2 linked regions of the Lonchura striata genome follow. The protein of the gene in region 2 interacts with the protein of the main gene of each other region in a biochemical or structural test. Links are inferred from orthologs where the notes say so. Each region holds a gene or a part of one and is shown on either strand. Other genes may lie near its edges.

What was found.
Region 1: the proteins of FOXA2 (region 2) and OTX2 form a complex in vitro, tested with the Homo sapiens proteins (2 studies listed by BioGRID). The link is inferred for Lonchura striata from reciprocal best matches to the Homo sapiens genes FOXA2 and OTX2.

What each region holds. Positions count from the first base shown.
Region 1 is NC_134608.1:4,123,015-4,133,365, reverse strand, and holds OTX2 (homeobox protein OTX2), read left to right. Parts: upstream 1-6,256; 5' UTR 6,257-6,299; coding exon 6,300-6,396; intron 6,397-6,745; coding exon 6,746-6,918; intron 6,919-8,156; coding exon 8,157-8,777; 3' UTR 8,778-10,104; downstream 10,105-10,351. UniProt on the Homo sapiens protein: Transcription factor probably involved in the development of the brain and the sense organs. Can bind to the bicoid/BCD target sequence (BTS): 5'-TCTAATCCC-3'.
Region 2 is NC_134605.1:27,872,384-27,881,401, forward strand, and holds FOXA2 (hepatocyte nuclear factor 3-beta), read left to right. Parts: upstream 1-4,768; 5' UTR 4,769-4,822; coding exon 4,823-4,909; intron 4,910-5,388; coding exon 5,389-6,630; 3' UTR 6,631-6,773; downstream 6,774-9,018. UniProt on the Homo sapiens protein: Transcription factor that is involved in embryonic development, establishment of tissue-specific gene expression and regulation of gene expression in differentiated tissues.

The sequences.
Region 1 (10,351 bases), on a different chromosome or scaffold from region 2:
GCAGGGCTGCCAGCCGGGCTGGCCTCTGCTTCCCCTCCTGCTCTCCCAGATACTGTCTTCAGGCAGTAAAAAAACCTGCATTTTATTCCTCTGCCTTGCCACAGCCCGCTTGCCTCCAGCCCCTAGACACCCCGTTTTTAATTTTTATTTTTTCTCTTTTTTCCCCTCCCTTTTTTTTTTTTTTTAATTTCTATTTTTAATTTTTTATTTTTTTATTTATTTTTAATCGATTTGGAAAATACCCTCCTGGTCAGGATACACGGGGAAACGAATTATCTCCCTCCTTCTTCCGAGGTGGATTAAGGTTATTAAATAATATGTGGGGGCGGGAGACGGTGGCAAAGGCGGAGGGGGCGGAGGGGGGGGAAGGGTTCAATCGGGATATTTATTCCTGGTGCTCTGCTGAAGGAGAGGCTGAGGGGTGGCGTGGCCGTGCCGAAATGAGGGGAGGTGAGGGAAGGATTTGCCCAGCGCGGATCTCCGGGCAAGGGTTGAGATTGTGGGGGGGATGCTGCAAAGGGACGGCGGCTGCAGCTGCCCCTCCCTTACCCACACCTCTTTCCCCCACAATTAAAAAAAAAAAAAAACACAACAACAAACAAACTCAACTAGACAAACAAACCCACAAAAAAAAAAAAAAAAAAAAGTCCCCACAAAAGAGAGAAAAATAAATCAAAACACAACCCCAAGAAAGGCAGGGGTTGGGAATCCCGTGGGGCCAGGGGGTACCTGCCGGGGGTACCCCGGGTATCAACTTTCCATGAAGTCGCCTCGTAACAAAAAAGAAAAAAAACCCCAAAAAACCAAACCAAATCCAACCAAAAAAAGCCCCAAACAAATACAACCCAGCGGCCAAAGTGGGAGCGGCTCCGGCGGTCAGGGCTGCGTCGCTTCTGGGCGAGGGGGTATTTTGTTTATTTGTTTGTTTGTTTGTTTGTTTGCCTTCCTTTCCCCTCCCTCCTTCCCTTCTGCCGCCTCCTTCCTCCTCCTTTCTGGGAGTAAAGGATTTAAAAAAAAAAAAAAATCAACCCAAAACCAAGCCACACCACCCATCCTCCCAGCCCAGCCCCGAGCATCCCAAACCTGCTCCTGCAAACCTCCAGCCCGGGCTGCGCCGCCGCCGCTAAAGTCCAAGGACAACCACGTTGGATCGCACTCAGCCGGGCTCGGAGAAAGCCACAAAGAAGCCAATTAATTGCTATAACTTCATTAACATAGGTCACCCCGTGAAAATGATGGAGCCGCTGCAGTTTTTTTCCCCCCATTGTCACAAAGTGAGGAAAGTCTGTGAGCGCTCCCTCCCTCCGACCTCAGCCGCCTCCATCCTCCTGCCTTTTGCCAGGGCTTTATTTTCGGGGTGCTGTGAGCCGCGAGAAGTTGAGCGAGGACGGGAGGTGCCAGGGGAACATCCCGGTGCCCGGCTCCGGTGTGCCAGGCCGGGAACCCCCTGGGCCCTCCTCACCCTCAGCCCGTCACTGCTCCCAAATTATTCCCATTAAAAACATGCGCGCGTCCCTCTTTGCAATTTCAACGCGACGCCGATAAGTTCCATTCCGCACCCTCGTTCCTTATAGATCTTTAAAAATACAATTTAAAACGCGTTTATGTCGTCCCCCAGGTGACTCCATTTCCCCTCTTCCAGGGGTGACTTGGCCCCTGGGAGGTGGAATTGGGGTGTGGTCGATTTGTGGGTGCCACTGGGGGGACCCGGGGCTGGGGGCACCCCGCTCTGTGCTGGGGGGGATTCTCCCCTTGGCTCCCGCGGGTTTTCCTCTCACCCATCTCCTGCTGCTCAGCCCAGGGCTCCCGGCAGGCTTCGTGTCCCCCCTTCACAAATATTTACTTCTATACATTAATATCTTTTGTTGTTGTTGTTATTATTATTACAGCCACCCCCCAGCCTTCTGCTGCCCCCCCTTTCCTCGCCTTCCCCGGGCAGTTCGCTAATTCCATCTCTGCTGTCCATCACATTAATTTCTACAATGACTTCATCCGCTCCGCTCCATAATGTATATTTTTAAACCGAGCAGGTTCTTTTAATGTATATTCTGGTGTCATTTCGGCGGCTGTTATTTCTCTCTGGATTGTCCCCCCGGTACAGCAGCGGCCTGTTTTTTCCTCCCCCTGTGTGTGTTTTTATTATTTTCCCCCTGGCTTAGATGTGTCAATCACTCTCTCCCTGCCATTGGTTGGAGAGTTTGCGTCAAAAAGTTGCCAGAGAGGCGCTTTCTCAGCAAAGCTCCCCGAGAGAGGTAGAGACCTTCAGCTCCAACGCACCCTGCCACTATTATTAAAAATAAAACCACTTTGACCAGCTCCAGCACCGGCCAGCTCTGTATGTACCGAGCCCAGACCCCGAGCATCCCCGCATCCCTCTCCTGCACCGTCCCCTCCCCTTTTTCCCCATTTATTCTCCTTTTTCAAACATTTTTTTCTCCACCCCCCCCTCCCCCCCCCCTTTCCCCCCGATGTCGTGGGCATGTGCATGCGGCGAGCTCTCTAACCTCCCGCTTTGTGCTTTCTCTCCCAGCTCAGCCCGAGCTCTGAATTTGGCGAGGATCCGGGAGCAGCTTTCCCCCTTCGCCCCCCAGCCCTGCCCGCGGCTCCGGCGAGCCTCGCAGGTAAGTCCGACCCGCTGGCTCCATCCTTCCTCGGGGGCACGGCTGGGCGGCCAGGAACGCGGGGAGAATTCAAATGATCGAATTTTTTTTTTTTATTTGTTTGTTTGTTTAAATGATGATTATTTTCAAGCAGCCTGTGCGCGGTGGGGCTGCGCTGTGCGGGGATCCCGCAGGAGCTGCCCGGGAGAGGCCGGGCCGGGCCGGGCGGAGGCGGCCCCGGCTCGGGGACAGCACCGGCTCGGTGCTCGGCAGGGACCGGGAGCTGCAGGATGAGAGGGAAAAAGGCAAAATTGGGAAGCGTGGGGCGCTGCCCATCGCCGCCCTCGCCCCCCGAGCCTCGTCCCCCGCGGCCGGGCGCGGAGCCGCTCGCTCTCCGCGGGCAGGCGCGGGGCTTCATCGCCTTTTCGTTGGGTACATGATTTTTTTTCCGGCCTGTTCCTTTGGCCTGTAGATATTTCCTGACCTCAAGCTTGAGTTTTAAAATTATGGAGAAAAAAATAAAACCAAAATAAAACCAAAAAACCAACCAACCAAAAAACCAACGGGGAGGAATTGAATTTCTCCCCTCTTCCGACTCCTACCTGAGAACCCTTTCATCCTCCTCCTCTTCCTCGCGATGCGGAGACTCAGCAAAGTAATTTTGCAAAGGTGTTTTTGAGCACTCACGGCCCGGGAGAACCGGGCTGGAAAGCGCAGGGAGAGAAATCTTCAAAGCATTTAGGGCCGGAGCTTCAGGATTTGGGGCGGGCGAAAGGGGTGGCAGGAATGGCATCCAGGTCGGAGAGGGGCTGGAACTGGTATCCACCTCCTTTATTTTATTTTAATTTTATTTTTTTATGCCTTGGGAAAGCGCTTCCTAAAGACACCGACCGCGAGTAGCGCGGCCCGGCCTCTCTATATTCGCACCGCGCTGACAAAGAAAAACTCGGGAAAAGTCCTTGTGCAGCGGCACAAGTTTCTTTAGAACTAAAACCCTCCTTGGCTGCTGAGTTTTATTTCGATTTCGGCTGCTTAGAGAAGTTGAGGCTTATTATTTATTTATTTTGAAAAGGCGCAACTCTAGTTAAAAAAATATATATATAATAATAGAAAGAAGTGGGGGAAAAAAGCACTTTAAAAATGCGGCCGGGTGCTGCTGGGCGGCAGGGACGGGCCTGGGGCGGACGTGGCTGCCCGCCGAGCCCGGCCCTGCCGCTCCCGGGGCCGGGGAGGAGCCGCGGCCGCGGAGCAGCGCGGAGCTGCGGAGGGAGAAGCGCTGGGGGACCGCCCGGCAGAGCGGGTGACGGGTCCATCCCCACCGCCTTTGCAATTTGTGGTAAAATTCGCTTGTCGGGAAATATCCCTTCAAACAGTCCCTTCAGTGCGGGAAAAAAAAAAAAAAAAAAAAAAGAAAAAGAAAAAAAAAGGTTTGATTTAAAAAAAAATTAAATAAATTTGGATTCGTTGAATTCGTTGGAGCGCGGCGAGGGCAGGGAACGCGGCTGTCGTTCGCAAAACAAAAGGAAACAAATTCCCTTCTCTACCTTGGCACCTTTCCCCCCGCCCTCCGCGGGAGCCCCTCCGCGCTGCTCCGCGGCCCGGCCGAGCCCCCCCGGCCCCCGCAGCGCGGCCGGGGCCGGGGGCGCAGCCTGCGCGGCCGGGCGCGGATCGCTGCCCCGCATTAATCACCGGGGCGAGCAGCGGAGCCGGGGCCGGTGCCTCGTAATTAGGGAGCGTGTGCCGCCCGGATTATCTCGTTAGTTTATCAAGAAAACATTTATTATAATTAATTCTCGGACGGGGTAATTATTATTGAGCGAGGGCAGAGCAACTGGTAGCCGGGATGTGCGCGGAGCGGGGGGAGCGGGAGGCGGGGGAAGGTGACAGATTGCGGAGTGGAGCCGTTGCTCCGCGGGCTGCGCGGCGGCCCCGGGATGCGCGGCCGCGGCCGAGGGGCTCCGCGGGCGGCCGCGCCGGGCTGGCGCCTCGGTGGGATGCCGCCGAATTTAACCGAACGGCTTGCTTTTTTTGGAGAGGAGGTGTTTGTGTGTGTTTTTTTTTGTTTTGGTTTTTTTTTTTTAGTATTTTTTTCTTTTTTTTTCTTTTTAAAATATTTTTGTCCGCTCGTTTTGAAGCGGGCAGCAAGCCCCGCTTTGCTCTCCCGCGCGTCTTGCGCGGAGAACAGAGCGTGGCTCCCCCCTCGGCAGAACCGTCCCCGTTCGGCTTCCCCCGGGGGGTGATGCTAAAAGCGGGGCCCGACCCTGCGCCCCCCGCGCTGGATGCGCGCTCCCTCCGCCGCTCAGCCCGGCAAATCCCTTCCCCGAGGGGAGAAGCGGAAAGTCCGCGCCGCGGAGAACTCGCACCGCCGGGGGTGCACGGGGCTGGAGCCCCCCGGCAGCGCTGGGCCCTCCCGGGGAGTCGGCTGGGCTGGAACGCGGAGTTTTGGGCTCTTTCGGGAAGAAAGTTCTGCTGGAGTTCGTTTTCCCGACGGCTGCTGGGATGGAGGGAAGGGCGAGCTTTCATTCAAAAAGATTTTAAAAAAAATATTTTCTGTGGGGAAAAAACGGCCTAAACCTTTTTAACCTTTTTATGAGTCTCTGTTTGGCCCGTTGCCGTCCTTTTTTTTTTTTTTTTTTTTTTTCTCCTTTTTTTTCCCTTTTTTTTTTTTTTTTGTTTTGGCGGACCCCATATTTGGGTCCCCCCTCGTTCCCCGGCGCAGAGATGCCGGTCCCGTCGGGGCAGCGAGAGGGGACCGGGGCAGCCCGAGCGGTGACCGGGAGAGCCGCTGGCTCGCCGGGGCTGTCCCGGGGCCGCTCACCGCCGGGCTGTTTGTTTAGCTTCAGCTCCGTCATCAAGAGTTTCTTGAAAGCCTAATAAATCTGTTACTTGCCTCCAAATCTAATTACCCGGAGTACTAATTAGGTGCAAATGGCCGGTGGAAATTACTGCAGACGTGGACTGATGGCGGGAGAGCAGAAAAGTTTGGCTCTTCCCGAGCGGGCATTTGAGCTCTGAAATGCAGCAACGTCGGGGGGAAGGGGAAAAGGGGGAGAAGGGGGGAAAGGTTTGAATGTTGCCCAAACCTGGGATAATTAAAGTCCTTGCAAGAGACTAGTGGAGAGATAGGTTTCTTGAATTGTTTCTTTGTTTCTCACCCTTGGGCTTTGTTATCTGCATTATTTATTTAGCCGAGGGGTTCTTTGTGTCTGCCAATGGCCCCAATCAAGTTTTGCTTGAGACAATTAGCCGGTGCCCGGCCGGGAATCCTATGCAAATGCCCCCGGCCGCCGTACAATGCGGGCAGTTGAAGGCATGGGGGGGTTTTGTTCGGGCAGTAATTACTGGCTGGGATGTGCCCCCCCTTCCCTCCCCTCCTCGCCCTTTTTGGGGAGAGATGCGTTTATCTAGTCAGTCTCTCCCAGCTCCCAAATCTGGTTGGGGTCCGAGAGGGAGGATTGACGAGGGTGGAGGGGGGGGGAAAGGCAGCCGGGATAAAAGCGGGGGGGGCGGGGGGCAGCGATCTGGCCTGACTCCCCCCTTCATCCCCGCATTGCTCCCTCCTCTTCCTCCTGCGCAGGCACCTGGCGGCCCCCCCACGCCCGACGGCTCCCCCAGGCACCGCCCGGGGCAGGCAGGGCGCTCGGCCGGCTCCCCCTCGCCCGGATTTCGGCCAACTCTCCTCCCCGCCACAACTTTAGCATGATGTCTTATCTTAAGCAACCACCTTATGCAGTCAATGGCCTGAGTCTCACAACCTCGGGCATGGATTTGCTGCATCCGTCCGTCGGTTATCCCGGTAAGCCACGTTTTTCTTCCCTCTTCCCTCCCTCTATTTTGCTGCGCGGGGGAGAAACCGCTGGGATTTTGGAGGCACAACATGCCCAGGGATCACGGCTGGCTTGGGCGGGTGAACGCGTGGGGTCCCTTCTTCCTGACCCCCAAGTTTTTCTGGGGGAGAGGGGCTGCAAACAGGGCAGACCCCGGCGCTGGGGATGCTCCGAACGCACGGAGTTGGGACGGCCGCGCTGTGGCGGCTGATCCTGGGGGTGCGGGACCCCCGGGAGAGGGGAGAGAATGTGGGTGCCCCTCTAGGGAGGGGGCTGGAGGGGACAGCGGGGTCTAAGGGGCCGCTGACTGACAGCCAGGGCCTCTGGCTCCGTTCGCAGCCACCCCGCGGAAGCAGCGGCGGGAGCGCACCACCTTCACCCGGGCGCAGCTGGATGTGCTGGAGGCTCTTTTCGCCAAGACCCGCTACCCCGACATCTTCATGCGGGAGGAGGTGGCCCTGAAAATCAACCTGCCCGAGTCCCGAGTGCAGGTAGGATGCGGAGATCCCTACCTGCCCTCCCCCTCCGTACCGCGGGAAGGGCTTGGGCTGGCCTGTGCCTGACTGGGAGGGACACGGCTTTAGGGGATGGATCCAGTCCTGAAGCCAAATCAAGCCCTTGTGGGGTGAAGGAGGCTCAGAGACGGGTGGGGGTTCAGTGAGGGGATGTGGTGGCATTTTGCATCCCCAGGGCTGGCTGTGCCCCCCCTTCCTCCCTCTGCACTGAGGGGGTGTTATGCAGATCCTGGATCCCAGCTCTTGGACCTTCCACACCCATCCCCAGCACGCCCAAATCCCAGTCTGTCCTGCAGAAGCCACAGAGGATGCCCACTTCCCCGGGGATCACCACATCCCTGGAGCTGGGCCAGACTGGGATCCCAGACCAAACCAGTACAGACTGGGAGCTTCCTCCCCCTCTGAGGGGACTTTGATGAGAGAGGGGCTGCCTTGGTGGAGAGAGCCCCTCTCCCGGGGCTGGGCTGTGTCTGCTCTGCAGGGAGCCCATGCAGGCAGCATTTTGGAGATGCTGCTGGCAAGGCAGGAGGGTCCTGCTCCCTCTGGGACCTAGAACACCCCAGCAGCAGGGGGACAGGGCATCTCCAAAGCCATCCCTTCCACTTGCTCCCTGACGAGGCTTCCCGAGGCTGTGTGGTGCTCCCGTGGAGCGTGGTGGCCGGGATCAGGATACCCCCATGCCAAACCCCATCCTCCTTCCCACAAAACCTCCCCAGAGCCAGCCAGCCCCCTTGGGCCCTGCTAAGGGAAGGTGAGATGGGCTGAGGGGCCAACTCTGGCCGAGGGGGTGAGAGCAGAGAGCCTGTTTGGAGGATAAATGAGACATCTTTACCCCTCTCCCCACCCTGAACCTCTGCTTCCCTAATTGTTCCCTGCTTTTCTGATGTTCTATTGTTTCTAATTAAGGGCTCGACTTCAATAGGCCTTACGCAGTGATTCCTGGGGGTCCCCGGCTGGCAAACAGCAAAGAGAGAATGCTTCCCCTTCTCCCGAAAAGTGACCTTATTAAGGAGTTTGATTTGTGATTTCCACTCGTTATTGCTGCTAATTATCTCAGGGAGGGGAAGCCCCGGAGCTTCCCTTCGCAGCAGCCTGCAACCCTCTGCTCTTGGGGGACAGTTTAGGGTTTCCCTCCCCGGCGAGGTCTGCCTGCCACCATCTCATCCCTAACCCCAGGCTTTTTCTCTCTCCCTCCCTTGTGTCTCTGCCTCAAGGTGTGGTTTAAAAACCGCCGAGCCAAGTGCCGGCAGCAGCAGCAGCAGCAGCAGAACGGGGGCCAGAACAAGGTCCGGCCGGCTAAAAAGAAGAATTCGCCCGCCCGGGAAGTGAGCTCGGAGAGCGGGACCAGCGGGCAGTTCACTCCCCCCTCCAGCACCTCAGTCCCCACCATTTCCAGCAGCAGTGCCCCCGTGTCCATCTGGAGCCCAGCGTCCATCTCCCCGCTCTCAGACCCCCTGTCCACCTCTTCCTCCTGCATGCAGAGATCCTATCCCATGACCTACACCCAGGCATCAGGCTACAGCCAAGGATACGCTGGATCGACCTCCTATTTCGGAGGGATGGACTGTGGATCTTACTTGACCCCTATGCACCACCAGCTCCCCGGGCCGGGGGCCACCCTGAGTCCCATGGGTGCCAACGCGGTCACCAGCCACCTCAACCAGTCTCCAGCCTCCCTCTCCACCCAGGGCTATGGAGCCTCCAGTTTGGGCTTTAACTCCACCGCCGATTGCTTGGATTATAAAGACCAAACGGCCTCCTGGAAGTTAAACTTCAATGCTGACTGCTTGGATTATAAGGACCAGACATCGTCATGGAAGTTCCAGGTTTTGTGAAGAACCTTTGTGATACCGAGAGAAATCGCGACGAGAACGAACAGGCTGGGCTGAGCGCTCCAGTTTTAGTCAGGTCTTGGTTAAGTTAAAGAGAAAAATAACTCCACGGACAAACAAATGAACAAAACAAAAAAAAAAAAATAAACAAACTTGACAGCAACAAGAGGGGGACAGTGTTGGTGTGATCCCGTTCAGACTCATCTCCTGCTCAGACGCTCTGGAAAAGGAATAATAAAGAGGAAAAACGGAGGAGGAAGGCCTTAAATGGACAGATCATCTAGTGAGCAGAAACCAGACAGACCCATCTGTGTTCTTTCTAGTTTTAGCCAATTGTTGGGTTTCTTTGTTTGGAAGAGGTGGGAGATCTTCCCACCTGCGGGCCAGTTTAAAAAAAAAAAAAAAAAGTCTAGGTTTTTATTTCTTTTTTTGTGTGTGCGTGGAAAGATGATCCTTCACCCAGAGGTTTCCAATGTGTTAGCCAACCCTCGGTTAAAATATTCAGAATGGACAACATCTCTCTTTTTCTCCCTCTTTTTGTCCCTCCCTCTTTCTTTTCTCTCTCTCGAGCTCATCCAACTGTTTCATGCCCAACTTGCTGAAGTTGGCACCCGGAGAACTTGGTTCAGGGCTGTGTGGGTTGTGTGACTGATTGTCCTAGCTGCACTACTTTATTTAAAGATTAAGAAAAAAAAAAAAGATAATGTTCATAAGGAGTCAATATGTAGTTTTTAAGAGACAATCAGTGTGTGTCTTATATAAATGGTACATCTGTGGTTTTTAATCTGTGCTAGACTTCAAAACTGTGATCTCCTGTATTGTATGCAACTATGAACTCTGCACCAGCAGGAGTTCTGCTGTGATTTAAATAGGTTATAATTATAAGTGAAATTCAGAGCAACTGAGTTACCTATTATCATCTTTAAAAAAAAATAATTAAAAATATATATTTAAAAAATAATAAAAAAGAAAAAAAAAAAAGAAAAACGCAAAAAACACGATCGCCTTTCACCCGAGGTGAACTGCACTGAAACTTTTTACAACAAACTGTCTCTGAATGAAAGAGGAAAGACCGAAAATACCCCACCCGAGGACATTTAACTCCTCTGGAGCTCACTTACTGCTGGCCACGCCGGCAGTAACCGTCAAATCCGACAGGACTTTGGGCAGTTGCTCTGACCTGGATGAATTTAAACCAAGAAATTCATTGTCGTTTATGCTTGCAGATGTTAACTGAAAAAAAAAAGAAAAAAAAAAGATATATATGCATAAACCTTTTTTTCCTGGATTTGGCAGATATGTATAATTATATTAAAATGGTTCTAGCACACTTGATGTTTGTCTTCCATTTCAATCACAGCCGGCGAGGGACGGAGAAGGGGCACGGGAGACCAGGAGGGTCTGGCTGCTTCTGCAGGGTTGAGACAAAAGGGGTTCTGCTGGCATCTCCCCGAGGTGTAGGAAGCAAAAATCGAGGAGGGGCGTTATTTTATTTTTGAAATCTTTAATTAAAAAAAACTTCCATTACAAGCAGAGCTTGGCTAAGGTGACCTTTCCCACCCCAGCTTCGCCAAATC
Region 2 (9,018 bases):
TCTCCAGCAGCACGGGGGTTTTGTTAGGAAATAACAGGGAGCTATTAAAGCCCTGGGTTTTGGGAGGAGGCTCCAGGTTCCATTTTCTTCCTGTTTGTTTTCTTCTTGGGAACCCAAGGACATTTCAGTTTTCAGCAACTGATCATTAAACATAAAAAATATTTCCCAGGATGAACCCAAACCCTGGACATTTCAGTCAGGTGAAAATTCCCCTGCCTGCTGGGAGAAAATATCCATGGCAGGATTTTCCTGGGATGTGAGGAAGGCTTTCTTTCCTTTCTTTCTCGACCTGGGTATCTCCCTCCTCTCATCCTTCTCCCTGTGCCATGGGAGCTGGGGATGAATCCGCTAACTCCCGGTTTTCCGCAGCCAGCCAGCTCCTCCGGCCGTCATCCCAGATGCCTGCACATCTTGTTTATCTGGCAAAACGTGCTGCTGGAAAGCCGGGAATGGGCATCACGTGGCCCACGGCAAACAGCCGGCAGATGCCCTCTGTTGATTTTGCTCTGAAGCTTTTCCAGAGGCTGCTGGGCTCTTCCAAGGGGGTTTTGCCCATTCCCGCTGTGATCCCAATCCCACCCTCCCAGGATCCCCACCTCATGCTGGCATTGGCCCCAGGGATCATTAGGAATGCTTTCCTGGGAAGTTATTAATTCCCATCAGGATAACTGCCCGTGCTCCATTCCTAATAATGGGGCTTTATACCCATTGGGCTTTTCCCTGGTTTTATTTTATTCCAGCAGCTCCTTCCCTTCATCGACATCAGATAATTACGGAGCAGGAAGGAATGTTAAAACAGGGAGTGAAAATTCCAGAAAAAGGGATATATTCTGACTGTCTGGATCCTCAGGAATCCTTGTGGATGAAGCCAAGTTGCCTGCCCCTTGGATTGAAGGATATCATTCCAGAGTTAAAAGGGTGGATATCCTTGGGATATTAAAGAGACAGTATTTTTGCACAATCCTGGCTTTTCCTTTGTTAGTCTTGCTAAGGCCTTGGAAAATCTTTCCTGGAATTAAGCAGCCCCATTTAATGTGGAATCTAATTAGGAGGGACTCGGTTGAAGAGTTCCTCAAATAGTTGAGTCAATATTGGCCGGTGTAATTGTAGGAATTCCCGGTGGAATACCGGCACCTGTTCTAGAGCTGAGGCTCTGTGCGTGGGGAAAAAGAGGGAATTTCGGTGGTCTTCATCCGAATCCTTCAAGTAGCTTTTCCCAATGTATGGAATTTGTGGGAGCTTGGGAGCGGGATCCTGGTGCGCGTTCCCAAATTGATGCTGGATGTGACCCGGGGTGTGCTGTTGGCTCTTCCTGGAGAATTTTGTGGGAATACTCAGCTTAATTCCCAACTTCAGGAATGTGAATCATCCTCATCCTCATCCTCATCCATCTTCCTGTGGTTTGTCCTGCTTGTTGGAACAGAAGCTCCTGGGAATGCTTTCAACCCAGCAGAGCTCTTGACCTTACAAAGATGGATTCTACAGGAAAAATTGGAAATAAACCCAGCGAGAGGCAGCACAGTAGCAATGGAGCTTTCCTATGCTGCTCCACCCTTCCCTCTTCCCGCCTCAATCCCATCTCCCACCTCTTCCTGAAGTACTTCCAGGCACTGATTCATCCATAATTTCCATCTCTTATCAGGGAATGGCCTCAATAAATCTGACAAGTTGCCTTTTGTCTCCAAGAATCCTCCTGAAGGGCAGCTCTTCAGGAGCCTCTGTCTCCCAATTTCCTGATTTCAAGGGAAAAACCCAATCCCGCCTTTCTTTTGGAGGAGCAGCGCAACTGGGAGAGTTTATTATCCTAGATTAATGATGATAATTATCAGGAGAAGAGGGATAATTATCCAGCTTGGAGGGAAGACACTGGCATTGCTGCAAGGGATGGATGCAGAAAAAGCCCATCCAGACTCCAGCTGTCCCATGGGAAGTGGGAGTCCCCTCCCAAGCCTTGGCTCCCAATGCAAATAAGAGCATAATTTCAAAATTAAATTTAAAATAAATATTAGTTAAATATTAAAGAGAAGAAATCATATGGAGATAGCTGGGAACTCGCTCTTTCCAACCGGAATGTTTAAATAAGACACCACAGAAAAAATTTCTTTTTTAGCAGTCCTAGTATTCCTAAAAATGTTCTTTTTATGGGAAAATATCAAATTTCCTGCTTATTTTATTTAGGAGAGATTAATTTTATCTGTGTGGAAGGTGAGAAGGGAGCGGGAGGTGGTTGGATGTGGGAGCAGAGCCTCCAGAGTCAATCCCACATCCAGATGCTTTTCCAGGCCCGCGTTGCTGAATACAAATATTGGAATTGCTCCATGTCCTCGTATTCCTGCGACAACAGCTTTGTCTGATGAGCAGGAGTGGGATGTGGTGGCTGTGGTTGTTCCTGTGGGCACGTGGAATGGAATGAGCATCACCATTCCTGGCAGGATGTGCTCCATGGATGGAGCAGGATGGGAGAATTGTGGGACAGACAAAGGGAAAAATGGGATTTAAGTGTCTGGGACGGTGGGAATGTCCTGAAGGATCAAAAATCCAAGGAATTGGGGCAGGTCCCAGTCCACACCTGGATGAAAATCCTCACCTTTGATGGGGACAAAATTCCAAATCCTATGGAGCCAAAGCAGGGAAGCGGCACCTGGTAAAGGGGAAAGAGCAGGAAATTGGGAAAGGCAGGAGCTGCTGAGCTTGGGATGGTATCACCTCTGGCCACCCCTCACATGGAGGTGCCAGACATGCTCACATCTGTGCCAACATCTGCCCCAACATCTGCAGGGCCCAGGCCTGAGTGTGGGAATTGCCCGGGGAAAGGCTCATCCCAGCCTTTCTGGAATCCATCGGAACAAACCTCAAGGTCTGAGGGAAAAGGGGATGGAAAACCAGTGGGGTCTCATTCTGGATCTAGCCAGGAGCAGAGAGCAGGATCCTTGAGCATGCCCAGCAGCCACATCCCACATTTCATCCCATCCTCCCAGATTTCCCCCTTCCTGAGCCTTTGGATGAGCAGAAACCTCCTTGGAAACGCAGGAAGTGGAGATTCAGCACTTGGGGTGGACCAGCACCTCCCCTCCCAGCCGGGACGGGTGGTCTCGGGGTGCGGGCAGGGGGTGCGAGGGGGTGACCCCGGGACTGACCCCACAGGGTGTCCCTGGGTGTCCCCCCACCTCGGGGTGTCGTTCTCCGTCCCCCCCCGCACCCACAGCAGGCGACAGAGGGCGCCCCGCCACCGCGCTCGGGGTGTCCTTCCTCTCGGCGGGGCATCTCCCGCGGAGCCGTTCCCCCAAATCGCCCAAATCCCGGCAGAAAATGCCTGGAAGGGGTGGAGGGTGATGGGAGGGAGGTGGGCTGCGATTATCGCCGCGGCTATTGCGATGGAAACAAGGAAGCAGGGGTGTTTTCCTTTGGCCATGGATCCAGAGGGATTTGGGAGCACAGGGAAAAAATCCTGAAGGGGTTTGCTGGGGGGGGATTAAAAACTTTCGGCGACGTGGGGCAGGGGAGCCCCTCTGGGGAGCGCAAGCTCAATAAATAAATAAATAAATAAATAGATGAATAAACAATTAAATAAATAGATAAATAAATAATAATAAAAAAACAAATAAATCAGGCTTGCGGTTGGTTTGGGGTTTTGGTGGTGTTTTTTTGGTTTTTGTTGGTTTTTTTTTTTTTTTTTTTTTTTTTTATGACGGTGGGCAGATCTAGGTGGGAATTCATGGAACACTCCCCAGGAGCTGCGGGGATGTTCCCGGTGGAGCCAGGCGGGCACTGGGAAGGGGTGGTGGGAATGGGGAGAAGCCCTCCCATGCCTCCCTGTCGTCTTGGGTCTCCCCCGCGCTGTCAGGACCGCGATGGGGGGTAGGGGGGAATTTAGACCCGCGGGAGGGTGGTTTTGGTCACCCGTCTGTCCTTCCTTCCTCTTTCCCTCTTTTCCTCCTTTCCTGCTCTCCCCCCTCCCAGGCGCTCCGGCAGCGGCGCTGCCCCGACGGAGCGCACCGGGACCCGCACAGGGCCGGCCCCGCGGCCCCGCCGGCGCTGCCCGCCCCTTTCCCTGCTCTCCCTGCTCCGTTTAGTCCCGATTTTCCTGCCGGGAAGAGCCGTGTCCCGACCTGCCGGGGAGACAGAGCCGCGGGGCCCGTTGGCCGCGGGGAGCGAAGGTGCGCGGGGAGGGGAGCAGGGACCCGAGGGGGATGCCCGGCCGCCGCAGCGGGACTGCTCCCAGCAGCAATGCCGTCGGGGCTGTCCGGGCAGCGGGCTGGGAACGGTGCCCCTGGGAGCGGGATGGGGTGGCAGTGGTGTCCCCCGGCGCGAGGCGGTGGCAGAGGCGCGCAGAGGTGCGCGGGGCCGCGGAGGAGCCGCTCCCGCCTAGGTGTGAGCTGATTATTCAAATGGGCAGCCGAGGACCTGGGGATTGGAGGCTCGCCCGGCCGCTCCGTGCTATATCACTGGGGCACCCACGTCACTGCAGCACTTGTCCTCCTCTTCCTCCTCCTCCTCTTCTTCCTCCCTCCTCCCTCCTCCTCCTCCTCCTCCGGCTCCTCCATCGCCTCCGGGCGCCTCTTCGCCGCGGAGCGCTGCGAAAACCCACCCAAGGAGCGGCGGCGGAACAAACCCACCCCAGCCCCAGCGCCGCTACATCCCCCCCTTCCTCCCTCCCTCCTCTTCCTCCTCCTCCAGAGGCTCCGGCGGAGGGGAGGGAGGGTTGGGGAGTAATTTTTTTTGCCTTTTTTTTTTTGCTGCTTTTTTTTTTTTTTTTTTTTTTTTTTTTTTTTTGGGTCGCTCTCTGCCGTCGTTTGTTGTGGCTGTTAAATTTTAAACTGCCATGCACTCCACTTCCAGTATGCTGGGAGCGGTGAAAATGGAAGGCCATGAGCACACGGACTGGAGCAACTACTACGGGGAGCCCGAGGTATGGACGGAGCCGGAACCCCCCAAAACCCCCCGGTGTCCCGGCCCCCGGACGCGATTAACTTTGGCACCGGCTCCCTGCTGCGGGCGGGGATCCCGAGGTGCGGGTGGGGATGCAGGCGACTCTTCTCTGTTTTTCTTTCCACCCCCCTAGGTATTTTTCTCTCTCCGGTCAGAGATGTCCCTTTCCCTTTCCCTTCCTGCAACTCCGCTTCGCGGGACGGCTCCGCCGCTCCTGCTGCCACCGCGATTTTTCTAATATAAATACCAAAATATATTTGGGTTTCATTAAGAAGAAAAACAACCCCCCCCCGCCTGCCCCACCACCGCCCCGCGCCGGGATTTAACTCTTTCCTCCCGTGCCCTCCGCGGAGCCCCGCGGCTGTGGCGCGTCCGGGCTGGGCTGGGCTGGGCTGAGCTTGGCTGGGCTGGGGCTCCCCCCCGCGCCATCCCCGTGCCCTGTGTCGCTTGTCCCCGCAGGGCTACTCCTCGGTGAGCAACATGAACGCGGGTCTGGGCATGAACAGCATGAACACCTACATGACCATGTCGGCCATGAGCAGCACGGCCAACATGACGGCGGCGGCCACCTCCATGAACATGTCCTACGCCAACACGGGCATGAGCCCCTCGCTGACAGGCATGTCCCCGGGCGCAGGGGCCATGCCGGCCATGGGCTCGGCCGGCGTGCCGGGCATGGGTGCCCACCTGAGCCCCAGCATGAGCCCCATGGGCAGCCAGGCGGGCTCCATGAACGCCCTGGCACCCTACTCCAACATGAACTCCATGAGCCCCATCTATGGCCAGTCCAACCTGAACCGCTCACGCGACCCCAAGACCTACCGGCGCAGCTACACTCACGCCAAGCCGCCCTACTCCTACATCTCCCTCATCACCATGGCCATCCAGCAGTCCCCCAACAAGATGCTAACCCTCAGCGAGATCTACCAGTGGATCATGGACCTGTTCCCCTTCTACCGCCAGAATCAGCAGCGCTGGCAGAACAGCATCCGCCACTCGCTGTCTTTCAACGACTGCTTCCTCAAGGTGCCGCGCTCACCGGACAAGCCAGGCAAGGGTTCCTTCTGGACGCTGCACCCGGACTCGGGGAACATGTTCGAGAACGGCTGCTACCTGCGCCGCCAGAAGCGCTTCAAGTGCGAGAAGCAGCTGGCGGCCAAGGATGGCACTGGCGGCAGTGGCAGCAAGAAAGGCTCAGGCCAAGCCCCCAGCCAGCCCCTGGGCGAGGGCAGCTCCTCGGCAGGCTCCGATGGCTCTGCCAGTGCCGAGTCCCCCACCAGCTCCTCGCCGTGCCAGGACCACAAGCGCACCCTGGCCGACCTCAAAGGGCTGAGTCCCGGCGAGCCTTCGGCCTCTCCAGGCCAGCACCTGCTGGCCCCGCCACACGCCGGGCTGGCCCACGAAGGCCACCTCAAGCCTGAGCACCACTACGCCTTCAACCACCCATTCTCCATCAACAATCTGATGTCCTCCTCAGAGCAGCAGCACCACCACCCACACCACCAGCACCACCACCCGCACAAAATGGACCTGAAGGCCTACGAGCAGGTGATGCACTACTCGGGCTACGCCTCGCCCGTGCCCGCGGGCCTGGCCATGGCACCCGTAACGAACAAAAGCGCCCTGGAGGCCTCGCCTTTGGCCGGAGAGACTTCCTACTACCAAGGCGTGTATTCCCGGCCCATCATGAACTCCTCCTAAGCAGGAAAACGCTCCTGAAAAAAGGGGAAAACCTTCTCCCCCCCAATACCCCTCGCAATGGACTCTGAGTACGGTACATATCTGGTATATATATATATATTTTTTTTTTGTTGTTGTTCCCTTTTGGCTCCAGATGTTTGCATCCATTTGGGAACCTGCAGCCATGTGGCCCCTTCCCAAATCCACCCGGGGGAGGGCTCCATGTGGGGTGGTTTGGTTTGGCGGGGTGGGCATGGGGGGATTCTCCAGGGCTTGTTTTGATTTTTTCGTTGTTGTCGTCGCCACGAGGTCTAAATATATCTATTTTTTTGTGTGAGAGTGAGGGGGGGAAAAAAATAACCCTCAACCGAGGCAGAACCAACCCCTCCTTCCTTGTGAATATTCCTAGTTCGGAAACTGAGAACCAAAAGTCTTGAAACGTTGTAAAAAAAAAAAAAAAAAAAAAACAGACAAAAAAAAAAAACAAACACGGCGGGAGGGAAACGGGGGAAAGAAAAAAAAATAAAGAAAAAAATAAAAAAAAAAATTAAGAAAAGGCAGGATAGATTGTTGCAATTGAAGCAAATGCTTTAAGTTCCCGGGAGAGTAAACTACTCGGATCTGATTAATTTATCGTTTCTGTATGCTTTATTTATGTCTTCGAACTGTGTATTCTGGTAGCGAGCGGCCGCAGCTGCCGCAGAACTCCATTAAAGTCGTATTGGCGGTGCTTTTCCCCCTGAATCTCTGTTCCGCCGCCGCCGCCCGACGGGACCCCCGCCGCTCCCGGCTTGGCATCGCCGCTGTCCCTGCCGGCATACCCGGGATCTCCCGGCTGCTGCCGCTCCAAACCCGGCTGGGATCGCTTCATACCCGGCTGGGATCCCTCCGATCCCCCCGCCGGAATCCCTCCAGCCCCCGCTGGAATCTCCGATGTCTCTGCCGCCATCCTTTCATCCCTTCCGGAACTCCTCCATCCATTCTAGGATACCCCCATCCCCGCAGGATCACACTATTCCTTCCAGGATCCCGCTATCCCCGCCGGGACATCTCCATGCCCGCGGGATCCCTGCCAGGATCGCACTATTCCCACCCATCCCACCCCGACACCGCGGCCAGGGAAAATCCGCTCCTCCCGCTCAAGGTGGGAATCCGGGACATCTCTCCCAAAGCCCTGCGATCCTGGAAAAATCATCCCAGCTGCGTTAACCGGGAGGGATTTAGGACTCGCAGGGGCAGCGCATCCCTGCCTTTGCCGGGACAGCATCCCAGATTTTCGGCGGGCGGTGGAAAAAGGGCAGAGCTTTTTATTTTCAACACCTCCCGCATCCTCTCCTTCCATTCCCTTTTTCGCCCTCTTCCCAACCACTTGTTGTTTTTCCCACGCGGCGCCGGCCACGCCGCGATGTTGCTTTCCCAACTAACATCCAAATCCTTCTTAAAATTCCGCATTGTCCGCGGCGAGAGAAAAGGGGAGAAAGGGAACGAGCGGGGAGGAGCGGGGCGGGGGTGGGGGGTGGCGGGAGGCGAGTAGGGGGAAAGAGGAGAAGGGGAAAAAAAGAATCTTCCTAAAAAAAAAAAACAACTGGGGCTGAAATGTGTCGGGATCTCTCCAAGGACACACACGACGGCAAGCGGGGCGTGCAATGGGTGGCATTAGCACATAAAAGGCTCCCGCGGCCAGCGGGCACGGGCGCGGGGGTGTCGCCGCTTTGGGGACAAGGACATCTCCCCCGCCCCCGCTCCCGGCCTCGGGTCCGGCCCCGCTCGGCTCCGCTCGCATCTCGCTCCCTCCGCAGAGTTTCGCCTCTTTTTTCTTCATTTCCCCTTTTATTTTCTTCCTTCTCCGCCCATTTCTCTTCCTTCCCCCCCTTTATTTCTTCTCCCCTTTTTCGCTTTTTTCTCCCCCTTTGACTTTTTCGCCGTTTCCCCTGGTTTTTTTTTTTTCCTCTCCCCTTGGATTTTTCTTCCGTTTTACTTTTTCCCCTTTCATTTTTTCCTCTGCCCTTTCATCTTCCTCTCCTCTTTTTCATTCTCTCTCCGTCTATATACTCCTTTATTTCTTCTCCTCCTTTTACTTTCCTCGCTCTTTCCCCACCCCTTCCTTCCTTTTATTTTCCTCCGCCTTTTATCCCCCCTCTTATTTTCTCCTTTTATTCTTCTCCCTTTTTTATTCTCCCTTCACCTTTTCTCCCTCTATTTTTGTCTCTCCTTTCTTTCCTTCCTTTTCTTTCTTCTCGCTCCTTTTTTCTCCCTCCTTCCTCTCCATTTTCATTTTTCTCTCTCCTTTTTCTCCCTCTTTTCCTCCCTTCTTCCATTTTTTTCTCCTTCCTTTCATTTCTTCCCCTTCCTTTCTTCCCTTCCTTTTTTTCCCTTCTGTTTTCCCTCCCTCTTTCCTCCCCACTTTCA